Linked DNA regions of Rhinolophus ferrumequinum. The protein of the gene in region 1 purifies or fractionates together with the protein of each later gene. This does not show direct contact. Links are inferred from orthologs where the notes say so. Each region holds a gene or a part of one and is shown in the gene's direction. Other genes may lie near its edges.

Region 1 (7,671 bases):
TCTAGAGAAACTGAAGAAAAGAACTACCATCCTAAGCATCTGCTAAGGACCAGGTAATGAATTTTATGGTAAGTCCACAACCTTTTGGATGTCAATCATGTAAAATAAGTATCAGTAGTGAGACAGCAGCACAAGGATAGCCAGTTTCACTCACGTGCGGTCAGTGTAATTTAAGAGTGTGCCAGGCAGAATGGCAGCAAGATACATGATCTACCTGGAAGCCAAGGCTAGAAGATGCTAATCCCAACTCAGCAAATGAATCATTATATGACCTTGGGAAAATTAGCTAGTTTGGTTTCTCTGCCTAAAATGACAAACAGTAATAAGCAGATACTTTTTGAACAGATCTTTAAAATCAGAGAGGGAGAGGGAAAAGAGGAAGAGAAGAGAGATGGAGATGGAGAAAAACTAAACATGGGGAAATTTACAAGACTGAAAATGTGCTGAATGATTGTTCTGGACTATATTAAAACTGTATTTGCTTCAGGAGGCATAGAGCCTAAGAATCAAAATATATTAATACAAGCAAATCAGGCATTATTACTTGTTTAGCACTTATAACAAACAAATGCTTTGTTAGATGTGAAGTTGAAACAACCATCCCTTCTCTCAGGTTTATGCAACAAAGAAAAAACATCCTAACATTCCAATTAATCCAACAAATACGTATTAGATCTTGCCTCTGGCCAGGCACTGAGAATGTGATGGTAAACAAGACAGACGTGGTTCCTGCTTCATTGAACTGACAAGACAGACAAAACGTAAGTAAACTAAAAAATTACAACTTGTCGATGAGTGTTATGAAGAATGTGGACGAAAAAGGGGTGCGGTAATAAATCTAACCGAAAGTAACGTGAGTGATCTGATCATAAATTCCTAACTGGGTAGGTCAGGGTACGAAGTCACGCCCCAGGCCTGCAACTTCTTTAGTAAAAAGTTTTTAAGCCAGCCCTGTCCCTTGTTCTTGTGCATCTAGGTTAACACACCTTTGAAATGCCAGAAGTAATCTTCTTTTCCTGACCCCTCAAGGAAGCACTTAATTTTGTTAGCTACTGTGTTTCCCCAAAAATAAGACCTAGCCAGACCATCAGCTCTAACACATCTTTTGGAGCAAAAATTAATATACGACCTGGTATTATATTATATTATATTATATTATATTATATTATATTATGTTATATTATAAGTAAGACCGGGTCTTATATTAATTTTTGCTCCAAAAGACACATTAGAGCTGATGGTACGGCTAGATCTTATTTTCGAGGAAACATGGTATTCTGTAACTTGCTTTCTCCCACCTTCTTGTAAGCTTCCTTCCATCCCCTCCTTAATTCTAAATGTATAAAAGAAGCTGCAAAACTGTCATTCTCCAGAGATTTAAGATGTTGCTTCCCAGCATGTCGTCAGTTTGGCTTGAGTAAATTCTTATAAAAATTCTCTACAGGTTTGGACATTCTTATGTTGATGAGAAAGTGAGGAAAGGGACGACAGGATATCACAGAGATACCAGAGAGAGGAATGTTCCAGAAAGGGGAATAACAAGTACAAAGACCCTGAGGCATGACTCATTTGGGGTATATATGGGAATAGCAAGGAGGTTGGAGGCTAGGAAGACTAGGGTGGAATAACTGAAAGGGCAATTCATGGAAAGTGGAGATGGAAAGGCAGCAGGAGGCCGGACAGAGGAATGTCTCCCAGGCCATGACAAGGACTTTGGATTTTACACTGGAGAAATGGGAAGTCTGTGACTAACTGACAAAGTTACACAGCTGGCAGATTTGGAACTAAAACACTGACCTTCTGACAAGGATTCTAGCCAGTTCTACCTTAGACCCCATGATTTTAAATGGAAAGTTTTTTCTTTTTTTACAAAGCCACCCAGTCAGAGAGACGTGGGGTTTGGATGATTGGAGTTTACCTTTTCATATTTTAAATTATTTGTATTTTAAAAAAAAATAATTGACATGAAACACAACTCAAAAGTGACCAAAGGTTTTCCAGTGCAGAGTTAAGACTCCTTCCCACCTCTGATCCCAGGCACCCACCTCTTTTTAGTCTCTTCTATGGCCTTAAAGGTGTTGGATTTTAAGATGACATTCATTCACTAACACTTATTGAGTCTACTCTGCCAGGGGCTGTGCCAGGTACTGGGGACCTAATAGACTAAGGTGAATCTCTGCTCTCTCAGAGCCTATTACCTGCAAGACACAAGAAATGACTTAATGGGGTGGCCAGGTGGCTCAGTTGGTTAGAGCGCAGTGCTCATAACACGAAGGTCACAGGTTCGATTCCCACATGGGCCAGTGAGCTGTGCCCTCCACAACTAAATTGAAAACAACTTGATTTGGAGTTGATGGTCCTGGAAAAACATACTGTTCCCCAATAAATAAATAAATAAATAAATAAATAAATAAATAAATAAATAAATAGAAATGACTTAACGTTTGATTGACAAATATTTTAAGGCAAAATCAGACCGCACAGTAAGAAAGGATGATTTTCAATTCCAAAATTATCACATTCTCTTTAATAAATTTTATGAGCTATATAGGGCATTAAAGACATTAACATGTTTTGGGGCACAGAAACGTGCATTTTGAAGGGATTTTCTATTCTGAATATGAAAACTCCCTAAAATATCTTGGTGTTCTTCACTAGTCTAGCCCTGCTCGATCAAAAATAATAAATAAAGGATGTCTTACATTATCTTAGGAAATCTATGTAAAAAAAAATAACTAATGAATAAGTCAGGGATGTAATGTACAGTATGGTGACTATAGTTAATAATACTGTATTGCATATTTGAATGTAGCTAGGAGAGTGGATCTTAAAAGTTCTCAACATAAGGAAAAAAACTGTAACTATTATAGTGACCGATGTTATCCGGACTATTGCAGTGATCGTTTTGCAATATATACAAATATCAAATCATTATATTGTACACCTGAAACTAATATGTTATACGTCAATTATACCTCAATAAAAAAATAATAATTTTTAGAAAGAAAAAATCAAATTCAGTTTCAGGTGCGCCTTTGAATTTTGTACCTATTCAAAAAGTACTTACATTGTATGTGGTTTTTTTTTTTAATTAGGGTACAGATTGTTCAAATGTTTGTCTGAAAGTAGGTGTACAGCTGTGTCTTCAGGAGGAAGAAAGGCAGCCAGGCTGTAGAGAAAAGGACCGTGGGGTAAAAGGGAGGAGTCCCAGTATTCTTATACCAGATCCCGACTCCTGTGGATCTTTAAGCCAGTGAGTTCTCCACCAGGCTTCAATTAAATCATCTGTCCAACGAGGAGGACCACACTTTCTCTACCTCACCATTGGAGTGTGAAATGGAAGGAGCTACTAACTCCTGAAGCACTAATTCAAACATTACCTCCTCCATGAAGCCTTCCTAGACTTTCTTGAGGAGATGGAGTCGGTGGTTCCATCCTCTAGGTTCAAGAGAACCATCTCTAACACTGTCCCAATTTCCTTGCATTGTCCTACTGCTTGGGGTTTCTCCCAGAGCCAGGTAGTTGTCTTAAGCCGTCTTTGAGGCTCCCAAAGGCCTACCAGTTCATATGTAGTTAGGAGTTCATTAAATACTTGCTTAATGAATAATACCTGTTTCCTTGTTTGCATTTGTACATGCTTCTTATGTGATTCTGAAAAGAATGTAAGACATGAATCCTCTTTCCATTAACAAATCGTCCTGGGATGTAAAATCATAAACAATACTTATGTTATGGGGGTTTTTCATTTCAAAAAATTACATTCCATTGGAGTATTTTTTCGATTTAAAAAAATTTTTAAGGGGGGGGGGGACACAGAGCTCCCTCCAAGTCTCTACACCTTGTTCTTCTCTAGCTAGTACCTAGCTCTTTAAAATGCCTTAAAATGTCCAAGAAATGTTTACTAAAAGAATGAGCTATTTTTTAAAATCTTTAAATGATGCACGACAAACTCAAGCCTTCCCAGGCTCTTCCCAAGACAGGATGTAAAGATTTACCTGGGATTCAGACGTGGAAAATAAGGAACAAAAATGGATAGCAAGACACTCCTGTGTAGTTACATGAGGATTCGTTTGGCTTTTTCCAAAATTTTCTTTCAGAAAAATACCAAATTGCTAACGGTAGTGATCTAGTGAGCTCTTAGATCTGGGGTAAGTTTCGGGGTCTCTCCCCGAAGAGAGGTCTCTACCTCCCCGCTTCTCTGTGCTTTCTAAACGGCCCGGGGAGCCTTTCATTGCCACGGCGAGGTTTTCGTTCTACCGCCCCGGGCCCTTCCCGTGAGCCAGCCGAAGTAGGCCCGCGTCAGTCTCCAACCTCAACCGGCAGGAGCTCGGAGAAAACTCGCGGGCACCTTGTTCCGGACCTCGGGACAGTTTAGTCCGCGGAAAGGAAGCGCCTGGACACCCGCCTGCCAGCTCAGCCGCATTTAGGTGTACGCGGAGACAGATGGCTGGGGACCTAGGACCCAAGGACGCCGGAACCTGGTGCCCGGGGGATGAGCGCAGCGGAGCATAATAGCTAACGTAGCGCCCCGCTGCAAGGCCCAGCGGAGAGGCGGAAGTTGCAGGCGCTGACGCACTGGGGGAATTTTGCCTCGAAGGCACCTTCCTGTCCGCGACTCCGCCCCCTCGGAGGGGCTCGGCTCCGGAAATCAAGATGGAGTCGTTGAGTCGAGCTGGGCAGGAGATGAGCTTAGCGGCCCTGAAGCAGCACGACCCCTACATCACCAGCATCGCAGACCTTACTGGTCAGGTCGCTCTATACACCTTCTGCCCCAAGGCCAACCAGTGGGTGAGTGCCGCTAGGACACTGAGGTCGCCCGCCGGGCTGCCGCCTCTTAAAGGGGCCGCGCGGACCACCCTGGGCTGGGGGCGATGCTGGAGGCCAAGGCGGCATAGACGCCTCCAGGGGCTGGAGGAGAGCCTGGCCGGCGCCTGAAGGATGTTGGGGGCCCGGGATTGGGAGAGAGGTGCAAGAGAAGTAGGGCCCAAAACATCCGGGGGAAAAGCCGATAGAGGGGAGGATTGGAGGAGGGTCAGTCTCCCCTTAGGGTCGGGTTCGGGGATGTGGGCGACCTGCCTTCTTCGCAGATGTGTTAGAGGATATGAGACCGGTGGGGTCAGAAAGATGCCTGAAAGATGGAGGGTTTGAGGGGCATTAATTAAATTACATATACATAATCTATAAAGTAAACATTCCTCCCTCCCCCCCACAAACACGTAAATAAGAGCCCCTTTCGCACAGGTATTTGGATTTAAAGCTTGAAATCCAATTAGTTTCAATTCTTGGAAAAGAGGAAGTGGGGATAGTCCGTCTTTTATCGAACTACACTGTATTTCCAGAGTTTTGGAAAAGAATTCAAGGCACTTAGAAAAAGGGCTCTCACATTAGTTGGATTCCCTTGAAACCTTTGGAAAAGAGACCCTGTAAATGTGTCTCGTTCCACCTATGCTGCTGGTGATGTCACCTCCAAAATCTCACATCAGACTAAATACTTTTAAGCTTTTTTTTGCACGCGAGGGGATCCGAAAAGTTACAGTCTGTTCACTGAACTGATTTGTTGACCCATTTGAAGCTTCGTTTGTTGTTTAAAACTACAATTTTCTGTTTTCTAGAATTGACCCTTAATGAACTCATTCAGTTATAGGCTTTACATTTACACTTAGAAAATAATCGTAAATATTTGATGGATTGAATTCATAAATTATTGATGTTCACATTTCAGTAAGAAACAAAATTCTTATGCTAACAAAACTCTGAAAGATGATCATCGTAGTATGGTCCTTTACAATATAATACAGATATGTTATATTTATACAGTAACTTTGTGAAAATCATTTGGCATTTTTAATTCAGATGAAAACAGTTGTCAAAATATCTTGCTTTGTATTCTTCTTTCCTTGATCTGGAAGAGGTATGAGAAGCCACAAAGAACAAAATTACAGATTTCTTCTTTTTTTAAGTGTAGCCGTTTTAGACATTGCCTTAATTTGAATTGTTCTGAATAATTTTTCTTTTCTTGGTCTACACATAAATTTGTGAAATATGGATTGCAGACAAATGTTGAAGACTTGGGCAAGGATTGATTTACTAACCAGCTTTTCTAATTTTTCACAGACTTTGAATTTTTTGGAATGTTAATTGTGGAGTTCTTTAAAAATAGAAATACAAGCCATAATAACCTGAATTGAGAAATAAGCTGCCATTGTTTGTTCATTTGGATTATGGCACATAGAGCATAACTAAAATCTTTTCTCTCTTTGTTATTTTACAGTGAGTTGTGACTGCATAGTGTTTTGTTTGGGCATGTTTTCTTTCACTGTGAGACAGTTGATTACCAATTTCTTATACTAATAACAAAATTGAAAGTCAAGAAAAAGCCTCTGAATCCTTAGGAAGGAAAAGCTCCATGATGATACATAAACTAGGGCAATACTCCTAGAAGAAATCAAGATAATAATTTTTAAAAAAAATTTTATCCCAACAAATTCAATTTGATAAAGTTTTCTAACAATTTGTTGATTACATTAAAATATTTGGGCCCTATCTGGACTGAAATGCAGACTAATATGGTTATTTGTTTTTGTTTTTTAAGATATTGTCACTATATTTAAGACCTAAATACACTCTTGTCACAGCAAATTAAAGAAGGTTGTGAGTTGTACTTTCTTAATCAAAACATTTCACTTTAAGCTAAAAAAATTTTTTTAATTGTTTGTAAAACCTACAATAATTACATTAAGCCAGAGAATTGTTTCAGTATTCATGATGCTTCAACAAAGTTCTAAAAATAACAAACTAGTTGTGTTTGACAGTAATTCTTAACTAACCACATTTGATACTCAATGAAAGTATACCCAAATCCCCCAATGATGAAACAAAGTATCCTATAAGATAAAATTTCCTTTTTTTCCCCTACTAAATTTGAGAAACTTTACAAGTGAAGAAATTGCTGTACCAAGGATCTTGCTTTAAAATTTAAAAATCTGGGAGGCCCTATGGCTCAGTTGGTTAGAGCGTGAGCTCTGAACAACAGGGTTGCGGGTTTGATTCCCACATGGGCCAGTGAGCTGCACCCTCCACAACTAGATTGAAGAAAACGAGCTGCCGCTGAGCTTCCGGAGGGGCGGCTGGATGGCTCAGTTGGTTAGAGTGCGCACTCTCAACAACAAGGTTGCCGGTTCAATTAAAGATTGAAAACAGCAACCGGACTTGGAGCTGAGCTGCGCCCTCCACAACTAGATTGAAGGGCAACGACTTGGAGCTGATGGACCCTGGAGAAACACACTGTCCCCCAATATTCCCCAATAAAATTTATTTTTAAAAAAATTAAAAATCTGGCTAAAACGTTTTTGCTTTAAAAAGTGAAAGCTAATTCTAGGTTTTTCTCCTTTAAAATTTGTAAAAGAAAAATGCTGCAGATACAGGCATGTTGCTGGATCAAACATTGCATGTACGTTAATATGCATCAATAGCATGGAAAGGATACCAAAAAATCTGGTAACAGTAGTTGTGGAGAGAGAGACTTACTTGACCTGTTCAAAAGTGATTAATTTTAGAATAAATAAGTTGATCTTTTCTGTTTTGTTTTGTTTTTGAAAAAGCATTGAGCTGGTCTTTTTATTTTTTTCAATTACAGTTGACATTCAGTATTATATTAGTTTCAGGTTTACA
Region 2 (8,293 bases), on another chromosome or scaffold:
TTTGTTATTGTTATTTTCCGTTTTGGATTACGGCCATTCTAGTGGGTGTGACACGGTCCGTTTTCCTTTTGATCCTTTTGTTACCTTCTAACACAACTACACCAGTTATTGAGTTCTGATGATTTTATTTTCTATCTCCCTGCTAGAAGAGGCCACACAGCTATCTATGAATTGGGGACAGTGACACGGGGTCAGGCCCACCGGGAGGTGTTAGTTAGTTTCCCACCCCAACACTTTCTAAAATAGCCACAGTGAAATTCCACCCAAAATGTATACCAGCGTGCAGCCTGGTGTGGGAATGAAGGGGGCCCCCAGGGGCCGTCTTCCTCTGGGAGATGCTAGATGGCCCTGCTGCCCTCAATAGCAGCTTTGAGTTGATGTAGGAATTGGAGCTTTGAGGCCAGGCCAAAACCCACCTCTCCAGACACCCCAGTGTGCCCCCAAAAAAGCAACCTGTGGTTGAATTAGAATCAAAGTGTCTGCCTGCTGTCCCCCCACCCAAGGCCTTCTGTGACCCATCATCACCTTCAAAGAGACCATTCAGAGAGCAGAGGAGACTATAAAATATATACACACACACTTATTTTTCTTTTCCCACCAGCATCACTGGGGCCTTGGCCACACATCCGTGTCCCACAAGGGCCTCCTTTGAAGCAAGAATGGGGCTGCAGAGGGGGGGGCCCACAGAAACCCACAAGCACCCACTGTTCCTGGGGGAGCTTCAGACGGGGTCTAGTCCATGGTCCAGTGGGGCTGGCCACTTCTCAGCAAGGGTGGGGTTTCAAGGGCCACATCTGTGGGAGCCTGGAGCCCGACAAAGGGTTTCAAAGAGGCCAGTGGCTGGACTGGGGGAGCAGCTGCAGGATCCTAAATGTCCTTTTCCCAAAGTTGTGGAATTTCCCTGTGGCAGCCACGGCTGCTTACCCTTGAGGGACCTCTCTTGGTACGAGAGAAGAATTCTATTTTCCCGGACTTGGAGGCTGGCATGGAATTCGAGGACGGGCTGGGTCAGCAGGTGGGGCAGAGTTGTGAATTTAGGGCTGGCGGGTGAATTAAAGTTGGCTTAAGTCACTGAGTGGGATGGGTCTAGGACTGGTTGAGATCTACCTGGGCTGAGAGAAACACACACCTGTGCTGAAGGCCCAAGAGGACTTTGTGTGGTCTGAAATGTTTTTAGTCTTTTCTTTTTTTTTAATTTCAATGATGAATTATTAAAATGCAGACAAAGCAAAAAAGACTAAGCATTCGCAAAGAGCTGGCGTTTGATGGCTGGTGGCCAGGTACTGCCTTAAGTTCTTCACATAACATGTGTAGGGTGTTAGGGCCACTGGAATCCCATTTCACAGGTGAAGCACAGAGAGGCCAAGATATTTGAGAGAGGTCACACAGCAAGCCAATGGCAGGGCGAGGATGTGAATCCAGACCTGCTCTGGTTAACCCAAACTCAGCAACTGTCTATCCTATGTGCTTAGAATATAGCCATACATGTATTTTTCTTTTTAATTGAATTTTATTTTTAAAAATCTTTTACTTTGGTAAAATATATAAAGTTGCCATTTTAACCATGAAATTCAGGAGCATTAAGTACATTCACCAAATGTTGTGCAACTATCACCATTATCTACTTCCAAAATTTCTCGTTGCCCCAAATAGAAACCCAGTATCCACTAAGCGATAAGCCCCCATCTCCAGCTCCCGCCCCCCCACCCCCAGCCCCGGCTAACATCTAATCTGCTTTCTGTTGCTATGGGTTTGCCTATTCTGGATATTTTATATGGAATCATTCACTCTGAGGTTTTTAGTGTCTGGCTTCTTTCATTCTGCAGGATGTTTTGGAGGTTCGTCCATGTTGTAGCGTGTGTCAGTGCTTCGTTCCTTTTTGTGACTGAATAACATACTACTGAATGGACAGACCACATTTTGTTTATCCTTCATCAGCCAGTGGACATTTGGGTTGTTCCTACCTTTTGGCTATTGTTACTAGTGCTGCTGTGTACATACGTGTACACGGATCTCTGCATCCCAGCTTTGAATGCCTTTGTTATAGTTTTCTCTCACACACACATTTTTCATAGACTACTAACTGTCATGGACACTACTTTTTTAAACAGCGTTATGGAGTTATAATTGACATACCAAATACTGCATATGTTTAACGTATACAATTCGATGTGTTTGATATACATCCACACCTGTGAAACCATCACCTTGATCAAGACAGTGAATACAGCAAGCACCCCAAATGTTCCCTCCTGCCTACCTCCTATCCCTCCCCAGGCAATCTCTGATCTGTTTTCTGTCCATTTACATTAGTTAGTTTGCACTTTCTAGAATAGCCTATAAATGGAATCTTGCAGTATGTAGCTTTTTGGGTCTGGCTTCTTTCACTCAGCATTACGCCTTGGAGGTACAGCCGTGTTGTTGAGAGTGTCAGTAGTGCACACCTTTTCATTGATGAGAAGTATCTTGTGTGTTCATACATTCTCCTGATGATGGACTTTCTAGTTGTTTTCAGTTTGTGATGATTGCAAATAAAGCTCCTGTGAGCCTTTGTGTACAAGGTCTGCTTTCATTTCTCTCCGGCAAATACAGAGGATGGGAAAAGCTGGCTCCCATGGTGGGTCCACGGTTAACTTTTAAAGAAATGGTCAAATTGCCTTTCTAAGCGGCTACACCAGTTTGTCTGTCCAGCAGCCTGGACAAGAGTTCTGGTTCATCCCTGTCCTCACCAGCGTGTGACAGTGTCAGTATTTTTCATGGTAGCCATCTCTGGGAAGGATCGTGGGAGAAATGTGCCAGAGATGACTGAGAAGCGAAGATTTTGACTAAATGTGACAATTCTTTTAGTCATCCCTTCATTAAACATGGGTAATAGGACACTTCGTTGTTCTACCCAAGCAGTGACAAGGGCTCAAGAGTTGTCCCCTAAAACATTTATTTAGAACCTATTGTGTGCTCACTATTGCACGAGGCCTTGGGTATAGAACAGCAAACAAGACTGACACAGTTACTGCCCTTCAGAGAGCTGGTTTCTGCCTTGGATTGGATCGGTTCTCTAGAAGCAGAGCCTGAGATGGAGATTCAGGGGTGTGAGTTTGGGGGAAATGTGTGAGGGAGTGAAGGACGCAGGACAAGTTAAGGAAGTGGGCTCAGCTGGAATCAAGCCTCAGTCTGATCCGGGTGAGGGGGGAACCCTGGAGCCTGATGACATTAGACTGGTCCCATTTAGTTGCGAGGGATTCAGCCTCTTGTGCCGCATACCATTCAGTCCTTGGCATGGGCTTTCCTAGGGTGTATATGTTTTAGAGGGGGCATGACCTCCCTGGTGAGACAGTTTGCTCCCGGACAATTCACAAGGGGTGGTTGTGAGCCTTTAGCAGTCAATACTTGCAGCAGCTGGCATGGGGGTGCGCCAACCAGTAAAAAAGTTCTGGGCAGGGCACTCAACAGCCTGTATCCTCTACAAAAAAGTGGTGTCCATTAGACAAATAATCGCACTGACAATAATTTAATCACAATTATGATTAATGCTGGCTATGAAGAGGGCTCTATCAGAGGAAGGGAGTGGAAGGTCTTGGGGTGACAGGGAAAGGAGGGCTAAGGAACACATCTGGAATCCTGGCTACCATGTCATTGGGACCTGGGGGTCAGCTGGTCCCGACTGCATTCTGGGGCTGGGCTCCCTCCTGAGGCACCTGAGCTGATTGGATAGGCTTTGAATTTTATTGAAACCATCTGTTGGCTTGTTCCGATTTCCCCTTAAACTGTCTTCCTGGAGGAGGGGAGATCTAATTATTCATTTTCTATACCCTCACATTTCAGTGCACAGGAGGCCAGAGAAGATGTGAAGAAGGAAAAAGGAAGCTCTTATCACGTTGTGACAGGAATACTGGAAAATGTGGAACCATAAAGTATCAGTAATAAACCAGGAGCCGTGTGAGATGACTTCAAGTATTTAGAGGGCCCCAGAATTTTGGGACAGAAAGGGAAGTGGAGGGTTCTTCAAAACATTTTGCAAAAAAGGATCCTGAGGCTCGGAATTTAAGGAGATTTAGGCTCATAAACCAGCGGCTGAATTTGGACAACCTTTTACTGAGCACCTACTGTGTGGGGGCATTATTCTCCGCATAGAAAAGACCTTATAATGAATAAAGCCAACCCCATGCACGTGAAACTTTATAAATATTAAGGGGGTGACTGGTATTTCATTTATTCTTCATCTTAATGGTTATTAATTCCCTTTCCCATGAAACTCAAGGCTCAGAGAGGTGAAATCACTAGTACAAGGTCACACAGCTGGTAGGTAGTCAGGTCTGGATTGTGGTCCCAATTGCTTTGCTATATACTGCCTCTGAATATTATTGTTTGAGGCAGCAGCAAACACCATTTCTGCGAGCAACAGGATCCCTGCAGGGCTGTCCCCACTCGTTTATTGAACCACTGCACACTGAGCACCTATTAAGTGTGCAGACACCCCCGTTTTACAGATGGGAAGACTGAGGACCAGGGGGCGTCTCCAGGAGATGGTGGTGTACTTCCCCAGCTCCATCTGCGTAGGGCATTCAGTTAGGGCTCAATAGAAGCGTGGACCATCGCAGCAGCACCAACCGTCGCGCGAGCACCCCTCTACAGCAGTTGGGGCGGGACTACGTGCTCCGGCAGCCGCCGCGACAGCAGTTGATAGCCCCGCCTCCGCCCCGCGCGTGCGCACTGCGCGTCCCGTCGGCCCACTCGACTCTGGGCGTCCGGGCGCGGTTGGAGAAGAGCGCGCGCCTGCGCCGACGTCGGGCTCGCGCACGCGCACCTGCGCCGGCGTCGGGCTCGCGCACGCGCACGGAGGTGGCGGCAGCGGCGGCGGTTCCTGCCGGGGGTTGCGAGCGGCGGGCGGCTCTGAGAGGAGCTGTGGTGCCGAGGGGCTCCGAGGCAGCGGCGGCGGCTCGGCGCGCGGCTCTCGGCTCGGCTCGTGCCGCGGCGGGCGTTTCGGTCCGGTTCAGGGGCGCGGGCGCGGCGGCGGCGGCGGCCCGAGGCCTGCGGCCTAGGCCTCAGCGCGGCTGCGGGCTCGATTGCGGCGCGGAGCCGGCCAGCGGGCCCTGAGCGGCAGCACCATGAGTGTGGAGGCGTACGGCCCCAGCTCGCAGACGCTCACCTTCCTGGACACCGAGGAGGCCGAGCTGCTCGGCGCTGACACGCAGGGCTCCGAGTTCGAGTTCACCGACTTCACTCTTCCCAGCCAGACGCAGACGCCCCCCGGCGGCCCCGGCGGTCCCGGAGGTGGCGGCTCGGGGGGCCCGGTCGGCGCGGGACCTGGCGCTGCGGGCGGACAGCTCGACGCTCAGGTGAGCGGCACATGGCGGCGCCGGAAGCCCGGCCGGGCCTCGGCGCCCGGGGACCTGCCCCGGCTCCCCCACTCCGGCCGGGCCCGGGATAACCTGTTCCCTCGTTCTCCACTCCATCTGGGCCCAGAACAATGTGCCCCGGGTCCCCGACTCCGGCCGGTCCTGGGCTGACCTGCCCCGGATCCCCTACTCCGGCTGGATCCGGGGTAACCTGTCCCAGGTCCTTCACTCTGGCTAAGCCTGGTCTGACCGGTCCCATGTTTCCCGTTCAGGTCGAGTGCGGAGTAATCTCTCAGGACCCCGACTCTGGCTAGGTTCAGAGTAACGAGTCCCGGTCCCACACACCGCCTGGGCGCAGGGCAGACCTGCTCCGGGTCCCACTCTGGTTGCGTCTCGGGGATCTGCCTTGAGTCCCCCTAAGCCTAAGAACTGTCCCGGATCTAGCTCAGGCCAGGTCTTAGGTGACTTCCCATAGGTTTCCTTCCGAGCATGTACGAGGTGACCTGCCCTACGTACTTCTCTGCCAGGTCATGGGTGACTTGTCCCCAAGTTGCCCTCTGCCTGGATCTCAGAGGATCTGCCCGGGTCCCCACTCTGGCGGAATGGGAACCGTGCCTCACACCCCCCACCTGTGGTCGCAGTCATCTGGACACCCCCCTTCTCACAGCCACGGAGCCTTAGGGTCAAATTTCCTCAGGCCCAGGGACTGGAGAGCGGAGGCTGCAGGCTCCAGGAGCACAAATGGAATTTTTGCCTCCGGTGGAGAGAACCCCACATTCGCTGGCTTTTGCGATTATTCAAGAGGCAGGTTGCGTTTTGTTTTTCCTTCTTGCATTGCCTGTTGCTGAAACCGACCTGTTACGTAACTCCACAGCTCTGCCTTGGAAAAGTTGGGTTTGAGTTTGTTCCTCCAGTGGGCAGTGATAGTGGGTTTTACATAAATGGATCTGCCACATCAGAAACTTTTGTTTTTAATGATGTGAATGTTTAGTGAAAGCGACTTAGGTATTTTAAATTTGAATTTGGGGGATGAGAAGTATCAGGCGTACACTTCCTGGAACTGGATGCCTGCTCCCCAGTGGGAGAAAGGGACTCCTTTCTCCCAGTGGTAGGGTCTTGGACTAGGGTCCCAGGGAATGTCTCCATCATCCTCTGGATCTCAGATTCCATTCCCCAGGTTTCCCTGTGCCTGGCACGTCCCTTAGGTTTATTTTCCTGAATTCACAGCCAGGGAGGAGCTACAAGGCTCACCTTATCACAGGTGTCAAGGCATGAGGTCCCAGTGCCTGGGCTGGGGCGACCACCCCATCCTCAGCCAGAGTGAGCTCAGACCCTGTTCTGGGGGATGAGGGTTATGTGCTAGTTGGGAGTCGTTGGTTGAGTCACTCCCGTGGGTAGACCACCCACTTGGCATTTCTTTTAGCCCCTAATAGAAGCGAAAAACATTTGACTCATTCTAACCCCAGATTCCTTAAAAATAGAAGTCTGATCGGTGGGGCATCAGAGAGAACAGGTGTGCAAGTGTGTATATTTTTCAGTTTTGTTTATGTGTGGTGGAGGGAGGGAGGAGAGAGGGAGAGTCTGCCTGGAGAGAAGAAAGAGCCCCTGGAGGTGTGTGATCACTTCTGTAGTCTGACTCTGTAGACCTCTCTGTTGCCACAGCTGTAAAATGGGGGCATAGCAGTTTTACTTTTGTTACTTTTAAACATGCATGATCTCTGGACTCATTCATATGGGCTAGATAGTGCTGTCTGTAACTTGTGCCCAGTGTGTCTAGAAGGTCCAGGATAAAGATCTCTTGGTCAAGCAGTGACCACGATCTGTGGCAGCGCAGGGTTGTGAATAGTAATTGGTTTTTTGCAAATCTTTTTTTTAACTGTAGCCAATACAACACAGCAAACATGGGTCAGCTGGGGTTCTAGTTTTGTTCCTCATATTTGTGATTAATTGCGGCGTGTCCTCTTTCAGTTGAAGTAATCGATTTATTTTCCTGCACCTGAACACTGAGCTGTACAATATAAAAGCATTAATACTCCCCACTGGAGGTAAACAGTACAGTGGAGCTCACTTGAGTTCTGATGACATCAAAAGGGCCTGTTCTTCCTTACTTTTAGTTACCCTGATGAGCCACCCACCTATACCTGTAGCCTAATTTTTGATTTATATTTGGGGAAGGGGAGTGATGTTTGTGTCACAAGAGGAGGCCCTGAATTTGGGGGCAGGAAAGTCTGAATAGAATTGGAAAGTGGAAAAAAATTGATTATCTTCTGTGCCAGGTGGTGGCATTTGCTCCCTACAGCGTTTGCTGGTCACAGCATTTGGGGAGCTTTTCCGTGTTTGTCCTCAGGAGTTGGCTGCGGAATGAACTGTGTGACGGGGTTGCCAGAGAGACTCAGAAACCTCCCATTCTAAATGCCTTTTGATTGAATCTTACTGGATTAGTGGTTGTAAAGTGTCAAGTGCTGTTGCAGCTGCTTTTGTTTCACAGTTTTATTGAAAGAGAATTTACATACCATACAATTTACCCATTTAAAGTATACAATTCAGTGGCTTTTAGTACTGAAAGAGTTGTGCAAACACCACCATAATCAATTTTAAGACATTTTCTTCACCCTAAACAGAAACCCTAGACCCCTTAGCCTAACAGTCCTCCCTCCGCCAACCCCAGGCGACCACTAATTTTATTTATCTCTGGATTTACATACTCTGAACATTTCCTACAAATGGAATCATACAATATGTGGCCTTTTGTGTCTGGCTTCTTTCAGGGAGCATGTTTTCAAGGTTCATCCATGTTGTAATATATATTTACTCCGTTGCTTTTCATTGCTGCATAATATTCCACAGGATGGACGGACGACATTTTGTTTATCTACACCTCCGTTGATGGACATTTGGGTTGTTTCCACTTTTGCCTTTGGTGAAAGGTGCTGCTCTGAACATGAGTGTACAACTTT
Region 3 (7,843 bases), on another chromosome or scaffold:
GGTGAGATGAACTAGAAGTTTCTTGAAACAGAAGCAACTATAGATGTCTTCAGAAAAATGCAGGAGCAAAACAAAAGACCAAGACTCTTGAGTCTGACGTATTCCTAAGTGTAAAATCTTGAGCTTAATGTTGGAGTCCCTAAAAAGCTTCGGGAAATGCCTTCTATCCAATTTTCTTTGGACGGGGTGGGGTTACATTCAGTGCAGGAACTGCTCTGCAGAGTAGTTGCACCTGAGCCAACGTACAAATGAGCAGCTTTTTCATTGGACTGAGTTTATTTCTATCATTTGGTCCCTCTCATTGGGAAATTAAAAAAATAGTCCAAAACATTGTATGTTTTCATGAGAACCAGTTTTAGAATTACAAACTTGTAAGTGCAAGCTTTTAAACAATCTAATCATAATTTAGGAAACAATGATGTAATGACTCAAAACAGTATTCCATTATGCCAGACACGTGAAAAAGTTGGCGATAAATAAATTTCAATATGAAATAACACAAAAAATACAATGGGCAACTCGTATTATCTAGAGTATAGGAGAAGTCCACAACTAATACATACCAAACTGATCAATGCTTCTCAAAAAGCCTATAAGCGTCCTTCCATCTCGAAGAAGGACCAAGTGCTTTTCTGGGAAAAGGAAAAAAGATCTTTAAAAATGAAAACTGTTAGCATCAGTGAGTTTACAGGGTAACAACAAAAATAAAGTTAACAGCAGTTTACTTCTACCACTTCCTCTTCCCATGTATTTAAGGTGGAGTTTATTGGGAAATTAGAGGGAGGACCAAGGCAGCCTAGGTTACAAGATTAGTGGTGAAAAAAATCATAGTGTGGCAAAGTAGAAAAAGGACTGGCTGAGTAGTCAGGAAGCCTGACTGGCTCTAGACGTTGATGTTTGACAGTTACACCTCCTCAGTGTCATGTCAAGTTTCTGTATCTGCAAATTGAGAAATTTAGTCTGGATGATCTTTATGATCTTAATTCTAGAATTGTTTCCCTTCAACTTAGAAGAGCTTCTATTTCACACTTTGGAGTCAGGGAAGATTTTAAATTAAAAACAATACCTCAGACATGTAAAATGAGGATGCTGATAATAAGCTAGAGCAAAAATTCAATAATATTTATTGAAAGCTACGTGCTGTTCTGGAGCCTCTATATACAGTACTGAATAAAACTCAGAGATTCACCAACCTTATGAACTTATATTCCTGGTGGAGGAAGGCAAACAAATAAAAAAATGACCTATGGTGATCACTACTATGGAATAATAAGTAAGATAGCAGGATAGTAGGATGAAAAGAAAGTAGCTACAGAAGAGAGGGTGGCTAGGGAAAACCTCTCTGAAGAGGTGACTTGGAGCTGACTCTGAAAAATGACAATAAGCCAGTCACTAGAATAACTAGCAAAGATCATTCATTTGTTTCTTTAAGACCACACATAAAGTACTTCATAGATGTAGAACAGAGGAACAGGGTGCTTCTTCCCGGAAGGAATTTATAATTTTCCTTGGGCTATAATTAAGTACCATAAGAGAGCACATCTTAATTATATGAGACTGAGAGAAATTCGAGCTGGAGGCTGTATCTGAGTTGGTTCTTGAAAGTTAGATAATTTTTGTTCATGGGAAGAGTGACAGCGAAGGGGATGGTTTGGGAAATCTGTAATTTAGATAGGAGGAAAAAAAGGGCTATGTATCCATATGTTTGGAGAAGAGTTGACGGCATGGAGAGAAATAACAGGAACGAAGTCAGAAAAAAGAACTGGGAGCAGGTTGAGTCTGGGTTTGATTTTATAGGGAACAAGAAAACACATTGAAGACTGAACTGGCAGAAAAGGGAGAGCAGCTGAGGCTATTTCCAGTGTCTGGAACATGAAGAGACCTGAACCAAGGTAGGGATGAGAAGGGCAAGGATGGAAGTACTAAAACTGTGCAGTTTAAAGTAATGGGATTTGTCAACTAATTGAGTTTGTATATGCGGGTAGGTGTGAGAGAGTGTGGTGCTAAAGAAATAAGTTAAGCAGCGGTAGGCATTTTGCGTCATCATCAGGGAGGACCACTTACCAAAAGTCTGGAGTAAACAAAGCAAGCTCAGGGTGGAAGATTATTAGCTGTTTGTAATTCTGAAGTGCTATCAGGACACTTAGGTAGAAATGTCAACAGATAATTGGAAATGTAAGACTGCCAAAGAGGTCTGAATTAGAGCAATTTCGGATTGCTCTAATCCACAAAGAGGTGATATAATTATTAAAGTCCAGGAGATCTCCTAGAGATTTAAAGAAAGAAGCAGGTCAAACATGGAACCTAAGAGACCATCTATTTTAGGGAACAGTAAGAGGTAGAGAGGTAAGAAAATCAACAACTACTAGTATTGAAGAAATCCAGAGTACAGAATTAAGAATCCAGTGGTAATAGTTGCAGTGCTGCAGAGGGGAGGGGAAGACTCAGAAAAGTGCCCTAGACTGATGCCTTTTAAGAATGCAGCTTCACTAGTGTGTGGACAACAAAAATCAAATTGCAGGTGGTCAGGACGAGTCAAAATGGAGATGACTCAAAAGGTTTGGGGGTAAAGATATGAAAAAAGGGATGGGAGTTTGAGGAGACACAACTGAAAAAAAAAATTGAGATGGACAAAAACATGTGAAAGGAAGGATCCAGGAGGAGAGAGAAAGATACAAGGTGTGAGAGAAAAAGGATATTAATGGCAGAAGGTTCCAGAAACAGTGAGAGGAAAGAGTAATAAAAGACAAACTGAAAGGAAGGAATACTTCCTACTCAATGAGAGGACGGGTGAAAATACAGAAAGACTAAGGAGAGAGGAGGCAAGTGTGTGGGAGGTGCAGTGAAGAGTACATATGAAATGGTTTCGAACATTTCAGTAAAGGAGGGGGCCTGGAATCTACAAACAAGAGGTTAGAAGGCTTAAGAACAAAACTTATTTTTAATAGAACGACAGGATGTGTTAGGGCCTCAAATAATTCAGATACATAAAAAGAGAGGTGAGGGCAAAATGGCATCCTCAGACAACTTAAGATTTCATCACACATTAGAGATAGGCTTGTACAGTGGTTAGTTACATGTACGAATTTGGTCCAATTTACACTGTATTTCCCTTCAATAGCAAAATCACTAATTTGGATTTAAAAAATGATCTCAGACAATAAAAAGTTTAATTACACACTCACTCTAATCTGTATATATAGTAACTGTAGAGATTGTTGTAACTTGTTTGGAACTGTGTGTAAACCATTTTGCAGCAATTACAAGTTAATGAGACAGGATCACACAAAACATTTACAAAAATGTTGCTTGAGGAATAATTCACAGATGACAGTTTAGCAAAAGGACAGACTATATATATATGTATATGTATATATATATATATATATATCCTCTTTCATACAGGACTGAATTCCTCTTCAGGATAATGATTAAGAATAAGGGAGGTCTTCTTAAGTAAAAGCAAAAGAAAATTGTTGAACAGAAAAAAAAGAAGTGAATCAACTCTGCCTTTCCAGAAAAGTCAATACCTTGTCTGGCAGTGGTCTCTGCTACCATAATTTGAAAGTACTAAAGACCCTTACGGTAAAAGAATATTGCAAATGACTACACAGCATAAAGCCTATGTTTACTGCCAATAAGTCCAAATGCTATTAATATTCTCATTTCTTGATGAATGCTTTAAGCATTCTCATTCATCCACCAGTAACAACCTGGTACTTCAGCAGCGTCCCTGGGAAGCAGGACTGAATGGTACAGCTTGTGGTTGACCAGCCGGTGCAGGCTGCGTGGGGCAGGACGGAGGTAATAGAGGTCGTAGGCTAGGAGGTAGGCAAAGGGTGTGTCCCGTGGCTCCTCCATCCCGTGGAGCATGTCAACACCAAACACCCAGAACTGTGCTCAAATCACACCGCCCCCCGCCCCAGACTCGTTCTACGAGCTTCCTCGAAAGAGGCACCCTTCGGGGAGGAAGGGTCTCACCCCAAACTGATTTAACTCACTGTCGATGTCCTCGATGAGGCTGGCGGTGCCTGGCATATAGTTCATTTTGAACTGAGATAAGACTGCAGTGTATAGCTGCGGTGGGCCAGCGTGTGCAACACCTCCCTCCTCCTACCGGAGTCGCCGCCTCGTCGGAACCGGGACAGTAACCCGGACCGGGACCAGCGCGTCCGCCCCGGCTTTCAGCCGCAGGGGCCTGCCGGAAACTCCTCCATAATATCCCTACCTACTTCCGGTACCACGTGCCCATCGTCTGGAAGAGGCGGGACCGTCGTGCGGTCCGGGGACACACTTTCCCCATCTGAGGAGAGGGAAAGAGGAATCTACATGGCATAGGTGATGGGAAAACGTAGTCTCCCTTTCAAGGAACACGGTGCAGCCCCTCGTTTTCCTGCTTCCCAGACCCCCAGAGTCACGGACCTTCGTCCATCAACTCCCAGGCGTCCGCCGCTGAAGGGGCGGTACCAGGCCTGGGATTGGCTGTTGTCGGCCGACCCCCTTCATTGTTGTCCATTCCCTGTCGCTGGCAGGGGCCTGCGCAATGAGCCGGCCGTGGGGGGCGGGAAGCGCTTCGGGGCAGCGGTGCCCATGTCGGCCTTAAGGCGCTCGGGCTACGGCCCCAGTGACGGTCCGTCTTATGGCCGCTACTATGGGCCTGGGGGTGGAGATATGCCGGTGCATCCACCTCCACCCTTATATCCTCCTCGCTCTGAACCTCCTCAGCCTCCCATTTCCTGGCGGGTGCGCGGGGGCGGCCCTGCTGAGACCTCTTGGCCAGGAGAAGGCGGAGGAGGCGATGGCTACTATCCCTCTGGAGGTCCCTGGACGGAGCCGGGTCGAGCTGGAGGAAACCACCAGGTAAGCTTTGCGCCATCTGTCCTAGGAGGTTCTGGGAGGGGGTTCTTTGGGAGTGAGGTCCATTGGGATTAGTATACCCCCTGAGTTCGTATCGGATCGGGTTTCATATTTGTTTTCCTTATTGGGGGGTTTGTAGAAATAAGACTGGGCTCGTGGGTGGGGAGATATGCTTGTGTTCTGTTTGCCCCTCCTTTTCTGCTTCGACCATAATAAATGTCTATTACCATTAAAAAAGGAAAAAAGATCCTGCGCTGACTTGCTAAGCTAGGTAGAGGATGCGGAATGTCGCCTGGGAACGATGTTGGGCTGAAGTGACCCGGCTCTGCTTTTTGAGCTCTAGCAATTTATCCTGCGTGGCTCGTCAGGCCTGCTCTCCCCCCGAGAAGGGAGGTGGCTGCAGCCCCCGCCGTCATTCAGCAACCTCTTCCGCGGGGAAGGAATTTAGGAAGGAGGTGGGGGGAATGTGGGCATTTATTTAGCCCTTTGTCCCTAATGCTTTGCCTGGGATTGACTCAACGAATAATCAGCGTTGGGAAGTATTTTTACGTGGATTGTTTTATTTAATCTTCACGGCGACTGCAACATAAATGTCATTTATGTTGATCCTAATAGTGACCCTATTAAAGAACTGTTGGCTCTGAGAGGTTAACTCAACCTGCTCAATATAGTCGGACCTATAACATTTCTTATATTCTTGCCAGAAACGTACAGTACTTCTGTTTTGTTAATGCAGTATTTTTCGTAGAGAATTATTACACAATGTGTGTGGGGGGGTCACATCTCTCTTTCAGAAATTATAACACCCTCATTGTTTGAAAATGTAGTAGTGAAATTCCCATACATTGCTGGTGGGAATGTAACATGGTTCAGTGCTTTGTAAAGTAGTTTGGCAGTTCCTCAAAATATTAAGCACAGAGTTAGCATATTACTCAGCAAGTCTGCTCATGGATATACCTGGGGGGGGGTGCCCAAAAAAGATTTATACACATTTTAGGATATGTTATCTGTGCTCAAGCAGTAGTTCGTGGTAATCAGAAGTGTCTGGACGCTGATGGTAACCATTTTGAACACCTCTTGTAATTGCAGAAGTCAAACGTGACTTGTTTCATCTTTTGTTATCCGTATATGTTGAGTATTACAATTAATACAGTTTTTCCCTTTTAAAATGTGTATACATTTTTTTGGCACGCTCTGTATATGCAAGAGAATTGGAAACATATGTGTATTAAAAACTTGTATATGCATTTTCACAGCAATGTTATTCATAATGGCCAAAAAGTGGAAATAACCCAAATGTCCATCAACTGATGAATAGGTAAAATATGGAATGTTCGTACAATGAAATTATGTAGCCATAGAAAGGAGTGAAGTACTGTACATACATTCTACAACATGGACGAACCTAGAAAACATCATACTACGTGAACAAAGCCAGTCAGATAGACCACATATTGTATGATTTCATTTATATAAAATGTCCAGAATAAGCAAATCTGTAGAGTCAAACATTAGTGCTTGCCAGGGTTTTGGGGACTGGGGACATTGGGAGTGATAGATAAAAAGTAAGGGGTTTCTTTTTGGGATGATGAAAATATTCTGAAATTAGATAGTGACGATGATTATACAACTTTGAAGATGCTAAAAACCATTGACTTGTACACTTAAAAGGGTAGGTTTTATGGTATGTTAGTTGCATCTTTAAAAAGTTGTATGAGAAAAAAGCATGTAGTAGTGAGAGGTTAATTATGAAGAGAGTTCCATATTTTCTGTCTAAATCTAGAATAATTAGCCTGTGGGACTTGAATCCCTTGGTAGAGTAGAGTGATGAACTGTTTGGTCTATAAGTAGGCAAATTAGACCAAAGACCAAGGGAGAGGAGAGGACCACTGATGACTTCTACTTGGGCTTGCAGTATTATCAAAACAAAAGTGTGTTTTAGGGGTGAGGTTAGAGAAGTTAAGATGTTAGTATTGTGTAGATGTAAGGTATGGATGGAGCATAGCGTGTACATAGGCTGGGTGATGGTGCTGCAGTAGTTGGAGATAAAGCTGGGATGTGTACTGGACGTTCATAAACCATTTCAAGAGTTTATCTTCAGATTGATGTTTCTGAAACTTGAAAAGTATAGGATTATAATCTATGCAGCAATAGAAAATTAATACAAAAGATTTGCATGTTGCAAATGTTTTTTTTTCCAAATTTGTTTGTTTTTTAACTTTATTGTGGTTGTGATATATAAGTTTTACATTTTTTACATAATCAAATATGTCAAACAAACAAAAGGTATAGGAGCCTTTTAAAACCGTACTACTCAAAAAGTGTGGTCCTTTGACCAGAAGCTTCAGTGTTGCTTGGAGGTTGTTAGAAATGCAGACTTTCCTGCTCCAGACTTGCTGCTGCATTTTAATAAAAGCCCCAGGTGATTTGTATGCATGTTCACATTTGAGAAGCACAGCTCTATAGAATTGGATATATTGAGATAATGTTGCAGTGAACCACTACAAAAACTTGACTCTCTACATTTAAATATGGCAGGAGAAAAAACCCAGAAATCTACCTTTCCCTGTTTTCTTTCTTTTCTTACTTGGTTAGCTGTACTTGGCAGCATTGTAGTTTGATCCCTGAACTAGCAGCATCTGCATTACTTAGGAGCTTGTTGGAAATGCTGTATCTCAGGCCCTGCCCCAGACTTACCGAATCAGAATGTGCATTTCACCAAGATCTGTAGATGATTTTCATGTTCTCCCAGAATGAGAGAGGAGAGAGAGAGAGCGAGAGAGAGATCTGACATGGAAGCAGAGGCGCTGATTGGATTATAACCTAATCTCGGAAGTGATACACCATCATACTGGTCATAGAGACCAACACTGGTACAATGGGAGAGGCGAGGTACAAAGTTCACAAGGATTGTGAATACCAGGGGGCAGGGATCATTGGGAGCCATGTTGGAGGAGGATTATAATGGCAAGGAAGGGGGAGACCG

What was found.
Region 2: the proteins of DCP1A (region 1) and UPF1 purify together in Homo sapiens (co-immunoprecipitation; 4 studies listed by BioGRID and IntAct, with this or other methods). This does not show direct contact. The link is inferred for Rhinolophus ferrumequinum from reciprocal best matches to the Homo sapiens genes DCP1A and UPF1.
Region 3: the proteins of DCP1A (region 1) and BAG4 purify together in Homo sapiens (affinity purification with mass spectrometry; 4 studies listed by BioGRID and IntAct, counting the BioPlex papers as one, with this or other methods). This does not show direct contact. The link is inferred for Rhinolophus ferrumequinum from reciprocal best matches to the Homo sapiens genes DCP1A and BAG4.

The regions. Positions count from the first base shown.
Region 1 is NC_046300.1:48,756,105-48,763,775, reverse strand, and holds the start of DCP1A (mRNA-decapping enzyme 1A), read left to right. Parts: upstream 1-4,573; 5' UTR 4,574-4,653; coding exon 4,654-4,788; intron 4,789-7,671. UniProt on the Homo sapiens protein: Necessary for the degradation of mRNAs, both in normal mRNA turnover and in nonsense-mediated mRNA decay. Removes the 7-methyl guanine cap structure from mRNA molecules, yielding a 5'-phosphorylated mRNA fragment and 7m-GDP.
Region 2 is NC_046301.1:51,445,623-51,453,915, forward strand, and holds the start of UPF1 (regulator of nonsense transcripts 1), read left to right. Parts: upstream 1-4,986; 5' UTR 4,987-5,105; coding exon 5,106-5,336; intron 5,337-8,293. UniProt on the Homo sapiens protein: RNA-dependent helicase required for nonsense-mediated decay (NMD) of aberrant mRNAs containing premature stop codons and modulates the expression level of normal mRNAs.
Region 3 is NC_046287.1:61,425,212-61,433,054, reverse strand, and holds the start of BAG4 (BAG family molecular chaperone regulator 4), read left to right. Parts: upstream 1-4,536; 5' UTR 4,537-4,590; coding exon 4,591-4,860; intron 4,861-7,843. Other genes in the region: U6 snRNA-associated Sm-like protein LSm1, read right to left, coding at 564-632, 4,002-4,047. UniProt on the Homo sapiens protein: Inhibits the chaperone activity of HSP70/HSC70 by promoting substrate release. Prevents constitutive TNFRSF1A signaling. Negative regulator of PRKN translocation to damaged mitochondria.